Caenorhabditis elegans: one gene and its partners. The protein of the gene in region 1 interacts with the protein of each later gene in a pairwise test. Each region holds a gene or a part of one and is shown in the gene's direction. Other genes may lie near its edges.

What was found.
Region 2: the proteins of lin-12 (region 1) and dsl-1 interact in a two-hybrid assay, tested with the Caenorhabditis elegans proteins (one study listed by BioGRID).
Region 3: the proteins of lin-12 (region 1) and osm-11 interact in a two-hybrid assay, tested with the Caenorhabditis elegans proteins (one study listed by BioGRID).
Region 4: the proteins of lin-12 (region 1) and emb-5 interact in a two-hybrid assay, tested with the Caenorhabditis elegans proteins (one study listed by BioGRID).

The regions. Positions count from the first base shown.
Region 1 is NC_003281.10:9,068,433-9,073,268, reverse strand, and holds the start of lin-12 (lin-12/Notch intracellular domain), read left to right. Parts: upstream 1-1,796; 5' UTR 1,797-1,880; coding exon 1,881-2,029; intron 2,030-3,549; coding exon 3,550-3,668; intron 3,669-4,836. UniProt on the Caenorhabditis elegans protein: Essential signaling protein which has a major role in many developmental processes; involved in cell fate decisions that require cell-cell interactions. Probable membrane-bound receptor for putative ligands lag-2, apx-1, dsl-1 and osm-11.
Region 2 is NC_003282.8:1,206,695-1,209,699, reverse strand, and holds dsl-1 (Delta-like protein dsl-1), read left to right. Parts: upstream 1-1,619; 5' UTR 1,620-1,631; coding exon 1,632-2,002; intron 2,003-2,057; coding exon 2,058-2,445; 3' UTR 2,446-2,482; downstream 2,483-3,005. UniProt on the Caenorhabditis elegans protein: Probable secreted Notch ligand involved in the mediation of Notch signaling. Involved in the lin-12/Notch pathway-mediated signaling of cell fate in vulval precursor cells (VPCs), acting redundantly with lag-2, apx-1 and osm-11.
Region 3 is NC_003284.9:17,419,665-17,422,981, reverse strand, and holds osm-11 (Notch ligand osm-11), read left to right. Parts: upstream 1-1,513; 5' UTR 1,514-1,574; coding exon 1,575-1,626; intron 1,627-1,708; coding exon 1,709-2,226; 3' UTR 2,227-2,771; downstream 2,772-3,317. UniProt on the Caenorhabditis elegans protein: Probable secreted lin-12/Notch ligand or co-ligand involved in the mediation of Notch signaling. Involved in the lin-12/Notch pathway signaling of cell fate in vulval precursor cells (VPCs), acting redundantly with dsl-1 and lag-2.
Region 4 is NC_003281.10:4,714,749-4,722,565, reverse strand, and holds emb-5 (Suppressor of Ty 6 homolog), read left to right. Parts: upstream 1-1,895; 5' UTR 1,896-1,900; coding exon 1,901-2,031; intron 2,032-2,078; coding exon 2,079-2,331; intron 2,332-2,404; coding exon 2,405-2,746; intron 2,747-2,796; coding exon 2,797-3,383; intron 3,384-3,427; coding exon 3,428-3,947; intron 3,948-4,000; coding exon 4,001-4,354; intron 4,355-4,401; coding exon 4,402-4,701; intron 4,702-4,749; coding exon 4,750-5,643; intron 5,644-5,690; coding exon 5,691-5,864; intron 5,865-5,916; coding exon 5,917-6,736; intron 6,737-6,788; coding exon 6,789-6,979; 3' UTR 6,980-7,273; downstream 7,274-7,817. Other genes in the region: acy-1 (adenylate cyclase), read right to left, coding at 70-354; him-18 (SAP domain-containing protein), read left to right, coding at 7,389-7,447, 7,522-7,577, 7,629-7,749, 7,794-7,817. UniProt on the Caenorhabditis elegans protein: Histone H3-H4 chaperone that plays a role in maintenance of chromatin structure during RNA polymerase II transcription elongation.

The DNA.
Region 1 (4,836 bases):
TTCATTTTCATAAGATTTCCTATTATCTTTTTTGTGGTAATTTTAAGATTTGACTATTTTAAAACAAAATACCACCAAAGCTGATAATTAATAACGGCCTTCTAAAAAACCAGGTTTTTATAGAGCTATTGTTAATGCCATTTTTAAATGTTTTCTTAAATGTTACACTCATTTATTAACAATATTGTTATTTTTGAAACCTTTCCTTGGCGGGTTCCCATGCCAATAAATCAAGTCAAGAGGTCTTGAGACTAATCCGTCGACGACAGTTCAAAGTTGCCGGTTGATTGTCACGTCACATGTATATGACACCACAGTAACAGACACCTGTGCTCCTGTTGGCTCATCCATCATTTCCGTGTTTTGGGAAAATAGTAGTTAATTGGTAGCAACAACTATGCGTGAATTTTTGCAACAAATTTGGTTCAGATAGCAATTAATTGTCGAGAATAAGGTTATATTTAATTGTGTGAAACAGTTAAAAAAATAATCAAAAAATGATCAAATCTGTTTGAATTCCCGCCAAAAACAAACGCCCACTTTTGAACCAATTAGCGACTTCGGAATTTCCATACTTAATCTGATTGGTTGAAGAATGGGCAGAGCGAATTGCTGATTGGCCATGCAGTTCTCGTTTTGGAGGTAATTCAAATAGAGAGATTAGAAAACACCTTGGAAAAAGCGTGTTCAATATTTTGATTTGTTTTTTTTTCTAATTCTTACTCGATGTGTTTAGTATTTTCAAGCTCTTTCAGCTTTTGAACAGGAAAAGCTATGAAAAATCTCTTCCGCCTATAAAATGGCTAAAAATCATTTATACAATCTTACAGTTGTTCCTAAATGGATAAAACCAAGATATTACTTTTTGAACAAAGCTTAGAAATTTTTTGCAAGTATTGATGTATAAAACTAAAAACTATAAAGTATCCGAATAAACAGAAATAAACAGAAATAAACAGAAATAAAACTCTAAAACTGACACACAAAGACCCAAAAGCCGCAAATCACCATACGTTCCCAGCAGTTCGTTTTCCTCATCTTGATCATTCTTCCTTCCGTTCCCACTCTCTTCTCTTCCACCTCCTCCTACTTCTACTTCATCCAACCATCTGACATCGTCGTTTCATTTTAAAATCATCTTCTCCTCCTTTTCTTTCTCGATGAAAAAAAAGTCTACTTGGTGGCCGCACCGCGACCGCAACAAGTTGGGCGGAGCCATCTGTCTCTCTCTCTTTTGTGTTCATCCTACCCCCACCCCTTCGCCCTCTCTCGTCCTTTTTACTGGGTGAAGACATAACAATAGCCACCCATTTTTTGATTGGCATTTATTTATCCTTAATTAATGATAATGCAAAAGCTACCAGGTTTGGGTTTTATTAGGTTTCGTTTATTGGTAATAATATATTCCTACAGCTCTCACGAAATATTTAAAATGTTTCGAGCCAAGTATTATAGTTTTAAGAATTGATCCTGTTTCCTTCTATTTTGCCCTTGTTTGTTAGTTGACGATGACTGTATTCCTCTTTTAGTATTGCAACTCACTACTTTACTTTGAAAGGTAATATCTCCGCTCATTTTGATGATATCAAAAACTGATTTTCTGCACAATGGAAAAAATATTTTGTCAGCTGACAATTATTATTTAGAACAAATGACAACTGAGATATAAGCTGTCAACACTAAATAACAGGGGTGCAATATTAGTACGGTCCGATCCTTTGCATTTCTATACCGTTTTACTGTCGTCAACTTTCAAACAACGAATTCACTAAATTAAATAATTCAAAACCATTTTCAGAACCTACATGATCCATATCTAAAAGCTAATTTCCTGTCTCTGTCCGCCCTATTGCTCAACAGACTTTGCTCAATTTCAAAAAATGCGGATCCCTACGATTTGTTTTTTATTTCTTCTTATCTCGTTATCAAAATCGCTTCATATTGGCTCATGTCTTGGCTTAATATGTGGAAGAAATGGTCACTGCCATGCTGGACCTGTCAATGGAACTCAAACTTCTTATTGGTGCAGGTATGTGAAGATTTTGCTTAACAATACTTAAACATTTTTTCAAATTTTAATTCAACGTAAAATAAATAATACAAATCTACACATTTTGAAAACTAATCTTAAAAATACGCAATAAATTGGGGGTAAGGAATATTCCTAGGAATTATGGGATTTCCTTTACAAAATTGTCAACTGACCAAATTTTTGTTATTTCTCTTGCTACCGTTTTGTAGTTACCGTATTTCCTCTATTATTCTTTTATTCAAGACTATTAGAGGAAATACGGCAATTCTTTTTATATCTTTGAAATTAACCGAGTTATAACTTTACAAAGTTAAGTAGCTAGGTGCAATACTAGTAAAAGAAGTACTGTAAATTATAACAAAACATTGTTTGTACCAGTAGACTATTCTTCCATAATCCATGCCCTTTTCAAACAATAATTACGTAATCCGTCTTGATTTATAGCGGCATGTGCTCTCCGTTGAGCAGCTAGCTCCTGATAAGATAGGTGATATGGTTCAAGTAGAGACACGTGTCACTTGAACAACACACCATTAATTTATAGTTGATGTTAATTAATAGGAGGACATTGTTCGCACGGGTTCCCACCATTTACGAAACTTGCGCAACAAGAGAAATGAGCGAGTAATGAGAGAAAAAACCCCACAGAGGAGACACCTGCGTCGTCCCTCGCTGTAGAAAAAACTTTCAATTTTTTTGGGAAAAAGTGAGGGAAAATATTGTAAAAACAATACTTTCAGGGTGTTATGGGAAAGTTGGAAAAAGTCGGGTTTTGGATAAATCAACTTCAGAAAAGCAATTCTCAGCCATTTTTTTCCTGCCAATTCTCGTCTCAAAGTCGAAGAAAAACCAGGCAATTAACCCGCTGAGATTCTCATTAAAATGCGAAAGAGAAGCAGCTTTTCCCCCTCCTGGTCTCGCACCGCCGCCAAAAAATCACCCAAATCGGTAGTTTATTGCCATGGGAAAACCGAAAAATACGGGAAATTGAGGGGAGAATTCTTCTTAATGACAAAAAAATACTGGTCTTCCACATTTTTCTTATCAAACAAAAAAGAATGGGGTAGGATTTATGACCAAGTTCCCAAAAGAAATGACCAATGGGGGGTTACTGTAAGATTACTGTAGCTGGTTTTGAACTCCCTATCAGATGTATTATCTGTCAAAGTTTTTCCCGAAAATTTAAATAGAAGTATAGAAAAATGTTTGCACTTTCTGAAAATTGCTTTACTTTCAATTGGCAACTTCGGAAAACTGCAACGAATGCCACTTTTACTCGGCATTTTGAGACTTTGAATGAGAAAAAGAATAGTCTTCAAAATTGCTTATCTTATCACAAATGAGGACTCAGTTGCCACCTCACAATTTTACAGCCGTGTTCCCAGTTTTGTCGGCAAAACATACTGTCGAGTGAGCCTACCATCAGTTGTCATAAAACCATAAAACAATAGGATTACGGTGCCTTTCGGCTGCACGACGTCTTTAATCTTTAACCCTAACCCTTCCCAATGTTTCAGATGCGATGAAGGATTTGGTGGTGAATATTGTGAACAACAGTGTGATGTTTCAAAATGTGGAGCCGATGAGAAATGTGTTTTTGACAAAGATTATCGGATGGAGACCTGTGTCTGTAAAGGTAAGATAATGTAATTTCGAGCTGAATAACTTATACACAACACTTCCCATTGCATCTCATTTTCCTGCAAAACCAATGAGCCAGTAGTGGTCACTTTTTTGCCCAATTCCCATAGGGACCTAAACACCCATCACTCATTTTTTTTAGCCCTCCATGGTGGCGGTGTTGCGAATGAAATGTTTTTTTGGCCCAAAATTCCAAAACTAGGGTCAGCTGCGCGCGCCCTTTTGTCGGTCATCTTTTTGACCACACCATCCATCATAAGCACATGCCTGGTGGAATTGTGGCAAACAACTGACAAAGTTGGGGGTGAATAATAATTTGAAAGTGAATAGGTGGATTTGAAAATTCAATGGAAGTTAAGAAACTAGGAATTGTATCATTTTTAAGACTAAACGAAATATTCGAAGATTAAAAAATAAGAATTTACTTACTCATTGTTAAAGCTATCACAGGTATAATAGCAATAGGCCTATAGGCAACGCGTATACAGGTCTAAATGTCTGCTTCACGCTGACTTGCCGGCCTACCGTCTAATTTTTTAAATGTTAGCTTGAACTCTGTAGTTTGCTGTAGATTGATGTTGAAAATTCAACAAAAATTGAAGACATTAGAAGATTGGAAGTTTGTGGCTACATGTGTAATTTATGCGAAACAGACGTAGGCTGCCTTGTAGGTAGCCAGGCAGGCATTTCCTCATATTTCGAAAGCTTACGAAAACTATGCTTTAAACTTTATGCGCTTACCATTCCCAACTTTCAAAAATTTTACTAATCGTTTTCCGTTAAACCATTTATGAGTATTGCTCCAAACTTCATCAATCTGTAGTTAGTAGATATTTAACAAAGTTACGGCAACCAAACACCTCAATATTTCATCATGACTCGTTTGTATCGAGGACAAATTGAAGCGCGGCCAATCTTTTTCCATTTCTCTTCAGCTCATTTGTCTTGTTGGCGGCGTTAAAAGTGACCGCGTAAGGTGCCTGATAGATAGCTCCTAGGTCATCTGCCCCTCCTAGCCTCTCTGTTTCATGCGCGCTTCTCTATTGTCGATGCGCTTCTTTTTGGCGCGATTTATGTCTGATGTTCGGTATGTGTGAAGAGGGCGGTGAATTGGGCGACGACCCGATGGCGCCTCGTGTGTGTTGCCAATTCTTGGGAAAAAG
Region 2 (3,005 bases), on another chromosome or scaffold:
ACTGCAAAACTATCATTTTTAACAGCGAGATCAGATAAAAATTTCCAAATAAAACGTCAGAAGCTTTAGACCTAAAACCGCAAAGTTCAAAACCAAAATCGTTAAGGGGTTTTGACCAAAAGAGAAAAATGACGGTGGAAGAACACGTTGTTATCAACATCATCATCATGTTTTGATAAGAAGCGTGTCTCTTCATTGCGGGGAAACTGGAGATGATGTGAGAGAGAATGGAGAGGTCGCAGACACTGAGAGGATAGAAAAAATGAATTTAAAGTACGATTGAAAGCTGATTGTCGCAAAAATTGAAAAAAAAAAAACTAAAATTTCTGAATTTCCATTTCATATTATTTCGACTGTCTCCGAAAAAAAAAATACAGAAAACCCTATTACTTCTCGACTGCTCCCTTTGCCGGAATGTTTGAAAAAATCCAATTTTCCAGCCACAGAAAAATTGCCGGACTTTTTTTCGAGTTGTTCCGAAAACCTCAGAAAATCGCTTTTTACTGCTAAATCTCCCACTTTTGAGGTGGAAATGCTGATAAATACGAGGAATTCGCCTCACAATGCAGCAGAAGCTGGCAAACATTGCATTACACTAAATAAACGAACACGTTCGTTTTTTCTCCATTTCTTTATTAGGGAGAAGAGATGGCAGAGAGAAAAGTGGAATCGGAAGTTTGTAAACAGTTTAGGTTTGATTTATATGGCTGAAGGCGATGACATGCCGGCTTTTGCTTTGTGGCCGTGGAATGAGGAAACTCGGTCACCGGCCTATGAACCTAATAGGCCATGTTACAGTTATTATCTGACAAAATAGACAAATCGCCTATTTAAAGTGTAGCAGAATTGCAGAATTCGAAAAAAAAACCAACTTCGGTAAGGCTTTTAGATAGTCTTAACAAAAAAATCACATAAACTGAGTCAAAATTCGTCGAACAAACAGAATGAACGTTCCAGTTTTAGTTTTGCAACGAAAAACCATGACTCATAAAATGAAGAATAGTTCCGAATTTGCTGGAGATTTTCGTAGATAGTGAGGAATTGAGATTGAAATCTAATTGAGGAATTAATTCTATATTCGTACCATTAGTTGTTGTAATGAATGAATTAACTCGGAGTGTCCTAAAACTTTGCTATATGAGCCTGAAATTTGGAAGCTCTTTCGCTTGTAAAATACCTTTTTTTAAATGTTTTCTGGAGCACCAAAACTACTGAATACTTAACGCACATCAGGCTTCTGAATAAGTTCCGTGTGGTGTGTATGCTTAAACATCAAAATAACTAAATTTTGTATCATTTAACTAAATTTTTGGGGACGAAAGCAACCATTAGTTTTGGCCAAAATTGTATTGTCAAATTTTTGATGTGTGCGGTAAATTTCGAAAACTACCGAGCTCGCCAAACGGCAAATTCGGCAAACGAGAAGTGCACTGTACTGCAATTAAATATGAGACAATGGCAAAGTACCAAGAGATATATTGGTTTTTAGTAGCCACTATTCTCGATTGACATGTCTAACCTTATCGATCTTCAAACGCCAACAACCTCTTCCAGGACGACTGAGCGTTCTCTCTATAAATACCTACTCCGGTGGCTCATTGTGCTCCGTCGTCTTTCGAATACTAGGCGTTATGCTCAAATATCTTATATTCCTTGCTATATTGATCTCTGTCGTCCACTCTAATGGTTATATGACGATTCGCCTTAAAAGTGCATTTCCCCTGAATGTAACTGTCGAAGTGGCCGAGGAAGTGTATTTTCCCACCAATAAACGTTCATTCAATCTCCAACTTAAGCCCAATAGAGTGGGATTTGTGTCCAATATTCCTGTAAAGTTCGGAAGACCGGGATTAGTGTTGGTGGATTGCAGTCCTGTCGAAAAATTTCAAATCCATCGTGTTACATTGCGTTCGATACGGTGGAATACCCATGTGAGGAGTGTGGCTTCGGACAATATATTCTTGCCATTTACGGGATTCCGCTATGATATCAAGTGTAATAGGTGAGTTTTGAAATTGAAATTGAAATGCTGATTCTTGAAAAATCACAATTTCCAGATATTGGCATGGCCTTCACTGCGACCACTTTTGCAATGACGACTTTGCCCGTACAATTAACAGGCGGTGCACACAAAACGGAACTCTCGGCTGCCTAGAAGGATTCCACGGACCTAATTGCGAACTTCCTGTTCCTGCAGATTCCTGCAAGTGTCAAAACGGGGGAAAGTGTGTCTCAAGCCTCGAAAATACATGGGCTCAGAACGGCTCTCTAATTTGTGAATGTCGTTTGGGACATTTTGAAGGAAAACACTGTGAGAAGAAATCGTTCAACTACTTTCCAAAGATCGAAGCAACTACGTATGCCACGAAGGATTCTCATTTGGCACGCCAGTTTTATAACAACAGTCGGGTGCCGAATGAGTTGGCCACGCTTCCTCGATTGTGAATCCTAATATTGAGCTTAATGAAAATAAAATGATTTTTTTTACTTTTAATTCTTGTATGAATATGAATTTTAAAATGAGTACACGTTTAAATCAGGGCTGTGCGGCAACCGGGATTTTCGGCAACCGGCAATTGCCGAAGTTGACGAACCCAGAAATTTTCGGCAACCGGCAACGTTCGATTGCCGAAATTTTGGCAACTTTTCGGCAACCGGCAACCAAGTTTTAAAGTTTTTTTTGTTAAAATTATATTTTTGAGCGTTTTGGTTAAAAAATAATGGTCGTTTTCTCGTTTACGGCGAAATATTAGCATTTATCAGGCTCTCCGAATGCTTTTTATGAGCTGCAGAATGTTTCACATTGATATCGGCAGTTGCCGAAGTTGCTGAACTCCAAAATTTTCGGCAACCGGCAATTGCCGAAGCTAAAAAATTTCGGCAACCGGCAACTCGGTTGCCGGTTGCCGCACAGCCCTGGTTTAAATGCATAGGACAATCATGTTGGAACCAAAGGTGTTTCTTCGAAAAAACTCAAAACAATTGTAATCGTTCGATGGCAACTG
Region 3 (3,317 bases), on another chromosome or scaffold:
CCGTGATGACAGAAAGGAGAACAAGAGTGTCAAGATAGAAATGAAAAAAAAATCAAAAGCTTATCTAGAATCAAATTCAAAAGATGTCACTCAAAATGTTCAAAGTTGTTCCAAATTTAGACGCAACCTCAACCATTAAAAGTCAGGAGATACGGAAGGTGTTGGAGGTCGTACACAATCCATCACACGAAAAGAGAAACAAGACGTTGTTTCTAGAAGTGCCTTGATGAATGAATGACAGGGAAGGAGCAAAGGGCATGTTTTTTAGGGTAACAGGGGAAAAATACAGTTTTTCTGTGTTTCGAATTCTAACTTGGAGAAAACATTTGTCTCTGGTCTCATGTCTCAAGTTGGGCAGCTAATTCCGGACAGTAAAAACCTGAATCAAAGAACTGTTTCTTGCCAAGGAAGTTGTTACGGTATTATTGAATAGGATATGGAAATGAAAAAGAAAGACAGTTGCACGGATGTTTGCTTAATTGAAAGTAGTGGTTTGGTAAACACGGTGTTACAAAATAAAGCTTTGAGTAAAGAACATCTGACAGTAATCGTCATCTATAACTCTTTTGAAATGACGTTATGCTAGAAGCCACACATAGTTCAACTACGAAATAATTCTTCGTCGAATGATTAACTCATTCAATTCCCAAACTTCATTGTTCCTAGCTTATCATAACGTACTTACACTGAAAAAGCCTTGACCGCAAGATTGTTTTGGTCAGTCGCTAAAACAAAAACCATCAAAAAGTAAAAAAAAAGGTTTAAGAAACGTGACGACTATAACTTTTTTGTGTAGCAGTAGTCTGTGTTCCGCATGATGAAGTAATGAAATGGTGAAGTGAAGAATAAAGATTGCGTACAACGAGGGAAACACTAAAAATAGTTTATTTCTAAAGCAGTGATAACACGTAAAGAACGGGTGCATTATTTCTGTCTCCCATATCCCTTTTTAGACGTCCATCACGAGTCGTCGTCGAGTTTACGCGCACCACGGAGATGTTTGTGTCCGACGCTGTGCAGGGTACATGATAACGGCGTAGTAGCTGAAGATCGAAACACATCGACGACCTCGACGTACCCCCATCGGATGTCTTATACATCTTTCCTCACATCATCATCATCATCATTATCATTTTTCGACCACTATCTTCTCATCTTCAGAAAACTGTGTGCGACACTGGCTTCTCCATCACTCTAACCACAGGGCGATCATTAGAGATCCCATCCATCATCCGCCGAAAACCACGAAACCCTCTACACCGGTGCTGCTATTTCTCAATTCCGTTAGTCGCCGATACTTCAATCCTTCTTTCCCTCCTTCGGCCCTGATGATATTTTTAGAACAATCAGTTTATTCGGCGTCCTTCTCCCCACCGCGAGGCAATCTTCAAAGTTCCTAGGGGGCGGGACGCGCGCCCCGCGCCGCTTCCGACGACTCTCACAGACAAGGAAGGGCGGTATTGTGGGGCGGAGTTCACGCGAACGCATAAAAGGCGCCGATTTCAGATAGGCAGTACGCAGTTTCGACTTGCGAGATCAAGCAATTGAATCTCAAAAAAACACCGTTTCCAAAAATGAACTTTATTACCGTCGCCGCTCTCGCTATCGTTATGGTCTTGGCACAAGGTGAGCACATTTACAAAACTATAGAGAACATTCGATAACTTTCAAAGATATTAGACAATTACATCATTCTTTGTATTTTCAGCCAACCCTGCCCGTGTTCGTCGCAATGAGGAGATGTCCGAACGTTATTGCATCAAGCATCTTGACCACTACAACAAATACTGTGGAGACAACGCTGGACCAATTGACCGTGCTCTCTTTGGAAAGGTTGCCAAGTTCTGCCCAGCCTACGAAAAGCACTGTGCCGTTGGAAAGGCCGGACTCGTCGAGCTTCCAGACCTCGGCTCACCACTCGTTATGCCACCAGTCCTTCCAAGAGGATCCGACTTTGCCAGCCTCGATTTGCCAATCGCCGATGAGCGCAAGCCAGCCCACATCCACTCCTCAAGAACCGCTCCACAGACCACCCGTCTCACCGCCGCCATCGTAGCCACCTGCACTCCAGAATGCACCGCCGCTCACTGCACCGACGAGTGCAAGTGCGCCCACACTCATCCAAAGGTCCATCAAATGTGCAACCCACCATCTTCCGCTGCCATGGCCGAGACTTGCCAACGTTGGTACTCCAAGTGCACCATGTTCACTCCAGTGCAGTATTAAGCGTTGTTGTTAATATTGTAAATAGCAAAGCCGTTCCTCTATAGGGGGCCTTTAAGACATGCAATCGTTTTTGCCTAGGTGGGACCTACCTACTTTTAACATTTGTTTTTTTTCTTTTCTCACTCCTCCCCCAAATTTCCCTCTAATTGTTTTCTATGAGCTCGCACCCTAGTGCAATTATTTAATTTTTTATTTTTTTTTCTCTTTTTGGCCCCTCCTACCGATTCGCTAAGCTATTTAAGATCTCGATATCTTGAATCGTGTACATTTTTCGAAAGCTTATTAAAAAATAGCTAAAATAGCTAGATAACTGGTTAATCAGTTATCGCAGCGAATTGGATGGAAAGTATCGCTGGATAACTGATTAATTTCGTCCATACCTCCGCTTATGTGCTCTTTTGTGCTTCAATCCTGAATTTACCTGATCCGTAAATGATTTGTCTCAGTACTGTGTACCCTCCCCTGAAAAACGTTTGGCCCAGTGCTTGATTTTCTGATTAAGGAATTCAGTTGATAACGTTTAATAAAGACGACTCTTCTCTTTCATATCTTCTTGTTCTTTTCATTGACAATGCAAAAATAGTTAAACATGGTTTAAAACAGATACAGTAACAATCTTCTAAAGAAGGAAAAAAGAAGAAAGCAATACATCTTTGTCTTCTCCGAAAATAGACTATCTGAGAGTGTCGTACGATCAAACGCTTAACAAAAATCGTCTTTCGACGTCGCGTCTTCTTCTCCGTTCTTCCTCTTCCTTCTTCTCCTGTCACCACCATCGCCGTCTACACCGTGGGCTTCTGATGTATGATTACGATAGAACGAGATTCGGTGATGAAGTTTCTTTTGATAAATGGCTCGCTCTTTGAAGACAGTGTCAGAGAGAAGTATTATCATTGTCGTATCTTCTTCTTTTTCTCCTCAAACAACATGTTCTCCTTTCGAATATGTCAACAACTTCACAGCACAAACAATGACTTTTTGCAGGGAAACAAGGTGTGGCGGTGTGGTATGGGTTCTAACTTTTGAAAGTTGGTCTTTATTGTGTTGTGATTACTAGAATACTACAATAACAAGCTATCATTTTCTTTCTG
Region 4 (7,817 bases), 4.4 Mb from region 1:
TTTGTTTTGATATTTTTTTAGCAATGAATTCTAGATTTTTTTCCAAAAAAAAAACAAATAAAAACTCACCCAATGCTGAATAAAAGTTCTATCGAATAAAGCTAAATAAAGTGTCCAAGCGGCAATTACAACGGCAATATATATTAATCCAGAACGAAATCGATCTCTTAACTGACTGAAACTACACTTCCAATATTGAGCTTCTAGTGTTGCAGATCGAAATTGAGGATTCCACCATCTAGCAGATGCTCTCTCAAATAATGGAACACGTCTTGGGGAACTACTGTGTGCACGAACTGATGGTCCACATGAACCACCGAGAGCCGGTGTTCGTTCACCGACATCGTCGTCCATGAATCCAGAAGACAAGAAGAATCTTCAGAATAGAAGACGTTGAAAAATGAAAAGGAAGAAGATGAGGCAAGTAGAGGAGAGCGAGTAGTAGTTGTTCCCCCTCCTTCGCCTCCTACTCCCCCCAACTGCTTACTCTTTTTCTCTCGTTCACTCTCTTCCAATCTCTCACTTACTTTTGAAAGCCTTTTCAGAGAAAAAGAGAGTAAAAGAAAGTGCGCAGAGAGCTTTGGAATGAGAGAGGCGCAGAGTTTGAAACGAAAAGCTGCGCGCTCGACTGGCCCCAGGGTGGGGCGGGTCCAAGAGTGTGGAAGAGAGAGAGAGAGGATGGAGAATAGACATTGAGCCTCAATCTTTCGATTATTGTGCTCATGGATTCGGGGGATCCCATGGGATTTGATAAGTATGTCGGAAACAGCAAATGAATGAATAATTAGCGATGGAAATTAGGACTTCAACTAATGAAAAATGGTCAGCAAGTGAATATCTTGGGGGTTTTTCGGATATGATGATCAGCAGGTTCAGGTTATCAAAGTAATGCAGTTTAAGTGAACCTTCACTGTAGGCACTTACCCCCTAGGCATCTGGTAGGGCGTATATCTAGAATTGAAACACTGATTCAAGCGAAACTTTTTCAACTACCGTACTCGGGAGTACTGTAGTACCTCAATCTTTCTCGCCAAATTTCTCCTGAAATTACAGAACTTATGAATTGATTTTTCCTCGAAAAAATCTACGTATATATTTGAAATCGGGAAATAAGGAAAAAAAACTTTTAAAAAGCTTCTATCATACTCGCTGGTACGGTATTTGATAAAGTTTTTCTTCGTGGTAAGATTTTTGTTGATGAAAGAATGAGTCTGTGAAGAATAAACCTTCAAAATTGAACATGGTAGTTGAATGAAAATTAATCTTTTATGCCTAAATAATTTCACATAGCTATATAGCTATTACATTTTTCGCAACAATTCTGAATACCCCGGTTATCGTATTTCGTCGTCTTGGATGCTTGCTAAATGAACCAATTTGTTTACCTATCACGCAATAAAGATGAATCGAAATCACTTTTCGCAATATCGCTTTAAAATGAAACATATAATTCCTAAAATACGCGAAACTCGGGAAAGCGATATTTTTTAAACGACCGCGTTTTTCTATCTCTACCCGCCTCTTGCAATCCCACACTCTCTCGCCTAGCATCACAATGGGGCGCAGTTGCATAAATCGCTTCGCGTTCAAATTCAGAAAATCGTCTCATTTTTATTTTTGTCCTCGACCCGAATGGCCGGTTTCCTTCTTTCTCCGTTTTCTTTATTGATTAATTTTCGCTCGTTTGGCCTAAAAACCGCGTAAAATCCGTCATTTTTCACCTATCTGGCTAATTTTTTTTGCACAAAATAAGATTTTTCAGTTTTCTTTCACTTTTAAACCTTTTCCGCACTGTGAGCTGTTTGCAATTTTCTTAATTTTGCTCTTTGTGCTTTTCGAAATTTTTGTATTATGAAATTTCGTTCTTCCCAAGTGAAATTAACTGAATTTGTTGCAGGTAATGGATTTTATCGATAATCAAGCCGAAGAATCAGATGCCTCCTCGGGCCATTCTGATGATGAAGAACCACAGTCGAAAAAGATGAAAATGGCAAAGGAAAAATCAAAAAGAAAGAAGAAAATGGTTGCCAGGTAATTATAATTCCGGGGTATTTCTATTTTCATTTGTTCATTTTTAGTTCTGACGAAGATGAAGACGACGATGACGATGAAGAGGAAAACCGTAAAGAAATGCAGGGATTCATTGCAGATGATGACGATGAAGAAGAGGACGCAAAATCGGAGAAGTCAGAAAAATCTCGGCACTCGGGAGAAGATGAGCTCGACGATGAAGATCTTGATTTGATCAATGAGAATTATGATATTCGAGAGACGAAAAAACAAAATCGAGTTCAATTGGGTGATTCCAGTGATGAAGATGAGCCGATACGAGTGAGTAATTTCGATTTTTTTCAATTGCCACTAAAATTCATAATAATAATAATAATCAAATTCGGAATTTCAGAGACCCAACCACGAAGATGATGATTTGCTTTCCGAACGAGGAAGTGACGATGGAGACAGGCGAAAAGATCGTGGTCGTGGAGATCGCGGTGGTTACGGATCAGAGTCTGAAAGAAGTGAGGATGACTTTATTGAGGACGATGGAGATGCGCCACGAAGACATCGGAAACGTCATCGTGGAGACGAAAATCTCCCAGAAGGCGCTGAAGATGACGCCCGTGATGTATTCGGAGTGGAAGACTTCAATTTGGACGAGTTTTACGACGATGATGATGGCGAGGATGGTCTAGAAGACGAAGAGGAGGAAATAATAGAAGATGATGGTGAAGGAGGAGAGATAAAGGTTGGAATTTTTGAGAAAAGCTTTGCATTATTGAAATAGGAATGGTTCAGATACGCAGAAAGAAGGATACTACAAAGAAGTCAACACTTCTCGAATCCATCGAACCAAGTGAAATTGATCGTGGATTCTTGTTACCTGGGGATAAGAAAATCGCGAAAGAAGATTTACCAGAGAGGTTCCAACTCAGAAGAACACCAGTTACAGAAGCGGATGATGATGAACTGGAATCTGAAGCTCTATGGATTATTAAATATGCCTTCGAAGAAGGGACAGTGACAAATCAAGCTGACCTGGATCAAGACGATAAACTTGATTGTATAATGAATCTGGATCCTTCTGTCTATGAAGATAGAAAGAAAGCTGTTATAAAATCCATCAAGAAAGTTCTCCAATTCATTCGAGTTCGTTCTAATTCGTTCGAACCTACGTTTATTGGATTTTATCGTAAAGAAGATATTGACAATCTTCTGACAATGAATAATCTATGGAGAGTATACGATTTTGACGAAAAATGGTGTCATTTGTCAGAGAAGAAAAATAAAATTTACGATTTAATGCGTCGGATGAGAGAGTATCAGGAACTCAGTGACGATTTGACCGCAAAAAGACGACCGATTTCGGATGCAGATTTGATGGAGTAAGTTTTAAAATTTAAAATTTAGAATTTAAATTATTTTTCAGCACAAAATACGCAGAAACTCTTGAACAGCTTACCGACATACATGCAAATTTCCAATTGTTGTACGGTGCTCTTCTCGACGATATGATTAGATGGGAAAAAGGACGTTTAACCGGTGAAGAAGAGGAACAAGAGTATCGAGTCAAGTTCAAGTCAAGCATTCGTAATGATAAGTATCAAATGTGTGTGGAAAACGGAATCGGAGAGCTTGCTGGACGGTTTGGATTGACTGCAAAACAGTTTTCTGAAAATTTGAACTGGAAAAAACACGACATTGAGCAAGATCCGATGTTACCATTGGAAGCAGCAGAAGAGTATGTTTGTCCTGCGTTCAGTGACAGTGATATGGTTCTGAATGGTGCGAAATTCATGCTTGCCAAGGAGATCAGTCGACAACCACAAGTCAGGCATAGTGTTCGGCAAGAATTCCGCCAGTCTGCACATTTTTGGATCAAGCCAACGAAGAAAGGACGTGATACAATTGATCAAACTCATCCCCTCTATGACAAACGGTATATCAAGGTGAGAATTATTTGAAATAAATGTCTAGGATTTTAATAAATATATATTTTTAGAGTAAACCAGTTCGAAGTCTCACCGCTGAAGAGTTCCTCTTCTATCACAAAGCCAAAGAGGATGGTCTTGTTGATGTGCTCATCATGTATGAATCTGAAGAAGATCAGGATTCAAATAACTACCTCGTTAACAAGTATCTAAGTGATTCCATTTTCCAAAAAGACGAATACACGGAAAATGTTGAACAATGGAATTCAGTGAGAGATGAGTGTGTGAATATGGCTATAACTGAAATGCTTGTACCCTACATGAGGGATGAGTTGTATAATACGATTCTTGAAGAAGCAAAGACTGCAGTAGCAAAGAAATGTAGAAAGGAGTTTGCATCTCGAATTTCTAGATCAGGATATCTGGTATTAATTTGATTTAATAACTATGTAATTGTTTTGTTTTATTTCAGCCGGATTTCGATAATAACGATGACGATGATGATGGTATGGATCAACATGGAGCTCGTCGAATCATGGCAGTGTGCTATCCAACAGAGCGAGACGAAGCTTCATTTGGTGTAATGGTTGATGAAAATGGTGCAATTGTTGATTATCTTCGAATGGTTCATTTCACGAAACGAACGTTTGGCGGTGGAAACAATGGACTAAGGAAGGCCGAGTCAATGGATTTGTTTAAGAAGTTTGTACAGAGACGAAAACCTCATGCTATTGGATTGAATATTGAGGATATGGAGTGTACTCGATTGAAGGTTTGCACTAGTTTTGAACATTTGATACTTAAAAACTGCAATTTTCAGAGAGACCTCGAGGAAGCTGTGGCAGATCTTTTCTCGCAGAACTTGATCTACAAACCAATTCCAGTATTTTTGATGGACAACGAAGCCGCAAAAGTCTACATGAGATCGAATGTTTCGTTGGCGGAGAATCCAGATCATCCACCGACGCTCCGACAAGCTTTATCCCTAGCTCGTCTTCTTTTGGATCCCATCCCAGAGTATGCTCATTTGTGGAATATTGATGAAGATATTTTCTGTCTCTCTCTGCATCCGCTTCAACGGGATATCGATCAAGAGCAATTGGCTTTGGTTCTCAGTCATGAATTGGTGAACAAGGTCAACGAAGAAGGTGTTGATATCAATAAATGTGCAGAATTCCCTCACTACACTAACATGCTCCAGTTCACATGCGGATTGGGTCCACGAAAAGCCACTGATCTTCTGAAAAGCATAAAAGCTAACGATAATTTGATAGAGAGTAGATCGAAACTTGTGGTTGGATGCAAACTGGGACCAAAAGTATTTATGAACTGTGCTGGATTCATCAAAATTGACACTATCAAGGTATCGGAGAAGACTGACGCTTATGTTGAAGTTCTTGACGGTTCGAGAGTACATCCAGAGACCTATGAATGGGCTAGAAAGATGGCTGTGGATGCGTTGGAGGTTGATGATTCTGCTGATCCAACTGCGGCTCTTCAAGAAATCATGGAATCTCCTGATCGTTTGAGAGATCTCGATTTGGACGCGTTTGCCGATGAATTGAGTCGACAAGGATTCGGAGAGAAAAAGTCGACGTTGTATGACATCTCAAGCGAGTTGAGTGCGAGATATAAAGATCTTCGGCAACCATTCCAAGAACCTACCGGAGAGCTTTTGTATGATCTTTTGGCTCGTTCAGGAAAAGAAATTAGAGTATGTTACTTGTAATAATTCTGTCGATTTTATTTTTATTTTTGCAGGAAGGAGCTAAAGTGTTGGGAACAGTTCAATCTGTGCAGTACCGTAAAGTTGACAAAGATGCAGCAGACAGCATGTTACCTGATGTTGGAGAAGATGGTCTTTTCACTTGTCCATGTTGTAAATCGTTCACATCTTCGGCTCCTGGTGGAATTCAAGAACATATGCTCGGTGACGTAAGTTTTTCTCAACTAATACTATTCGTTAACCAATGTTAAATTATTTCAGTCTCGTCAAGGTGGATGTCCTGGAACACCAGTCGGAATTCGAGTCAGATTTGACAATGGAATGACTGGATTCTGTCCGAACAAGAACATCTCATCAAGTCACGTAGACAATCCATTAACCCGAGTCAAGATAAATCAGCCATATTACTTCAAAGTTCTCAAGTTGGACAAGGAGAGATTCTCACTATTCCTAAGTTGTAAGAGTTCGGATCTGAAAGAAGATGATTTATCTCAACGTGATCAGTACTGGGATGAGCATCAATACCAAGCTGATTTGGAACTGATGAAGAGTGAATCGAAAAAGAAGACAGAAGCAAATACACGTGTGAAGCGAGTAATTGCGCATCCAAATTTCCATAATGTATCCTACGAAGCTGCTACGAAAATGTTGGATGAAATGGATTGGTCTGAGTGTATTATTCGTCCATCGGCTAATAAAGATTCTGGTCTTTCTGTGACATGGAAGATTTGTGACCGCGTCTATCACAATTTCTTTGTCAAAGAATCCGCAAAGGATCAAGTTTTCTCCATTGGTCGGCAACTCTCAGTCGGCGGAGAAGATTTCGAGGATCTTGATGAGTTGATTGCTCGATTCGTTCAACCGATGATACAGATCTCTCACGAGATAACAACTCACAAGTACTTCTTCCCAAATGGAACATGCGAAGAAACAGAAGCAGTCGAGCAATTTGTACGAGAGAAGAAACGAGAGCTGGGACGATCTCCGTACGTATTCAGTGCATCCTACAGACAGCCATGCCAATTCTGTATTTCTTATATGTTCGATAATACAGAACGGATTCGACATGAATATTTCAAAAGTGAGTTTCGAAAAGAGATACGAACAAAGTTTTCAACTATTTTTGTTTACAGTTGTCCCACATGGAGTCCGATTCCGACATCAAAACTTTGATACGCTAGATCGAATGATGGCTTGGTTCAAACGCCATTTCCACGAGCCTCCCATCGAGTTAAGGCGATCTGCGATCCCGGCTCCACAGTATCGAGTTGGTGCTCCTCCAGCAGCTCCATACTATCCTCCTCAATTCGTCGGCTATCACTGAAAACCCTGATCTTATTCTCTTTATTACCCACACCTTATCAGACACATTCAATCCTGTTTCCTTTGTTCCAGTCTATCAACGATGATCTAATTTTAATTTATAGAATACAACATCCATCTGTCTTAATCCCACATAATTTGTTTTGATTTCGGTAATCCGTTCATCCTCGATTTTTACTTTTCAAACATTTTTATATATCTATCAAAATATTTATTCAAGCAGTCATACTGTTCATGAGCTCTTTCTGTATTCAAGTACCATTTTTGTTGTTTACTCAATAAATTTCGTAATCAGAATCACTGCTAAATCATCACGAAAAAACGTAGAATGCGTTGATCACAATTGATATTGGAATAAGAATTGCAAATTCAGTTTTAGAAGAAAAAAAAGTATTCTAGATTCTACTCATATGAATGATTCATCACTAAAAAAGGCACTGTCCCAAAACTCGATCTCATCCGCGCCAAGGTAGTAAGGTTTTTGTTTCTGTCGTATCTATTTAACCTAAACGTAAATTAAAAAATATCTGTCTTTTTTTCTAGGCGTCCTCAAAAACTTGGAAGTGTGCAGAGTATTGTAAGAAATGAATCTGACAAAAGTAAGTTTCAAATCAAATTTCCCAATTAAATCAATTAATTTACTTTTTGAGATGTTCCTTCTCCTTTCGAAGAGATCACACTGAGCGACGATGATGAAGAAGCACCGGCTAAGAAACCTGTAAAATGTGCGACGTGTGCACGAGATATGACTCTTTGGATGAATTCCAGAAGGTTTGAAATATTATTTGTGTTTCTTCTCACTGTTCAAATTTTAGAGATATTCATGTAAAAGTTTGCAA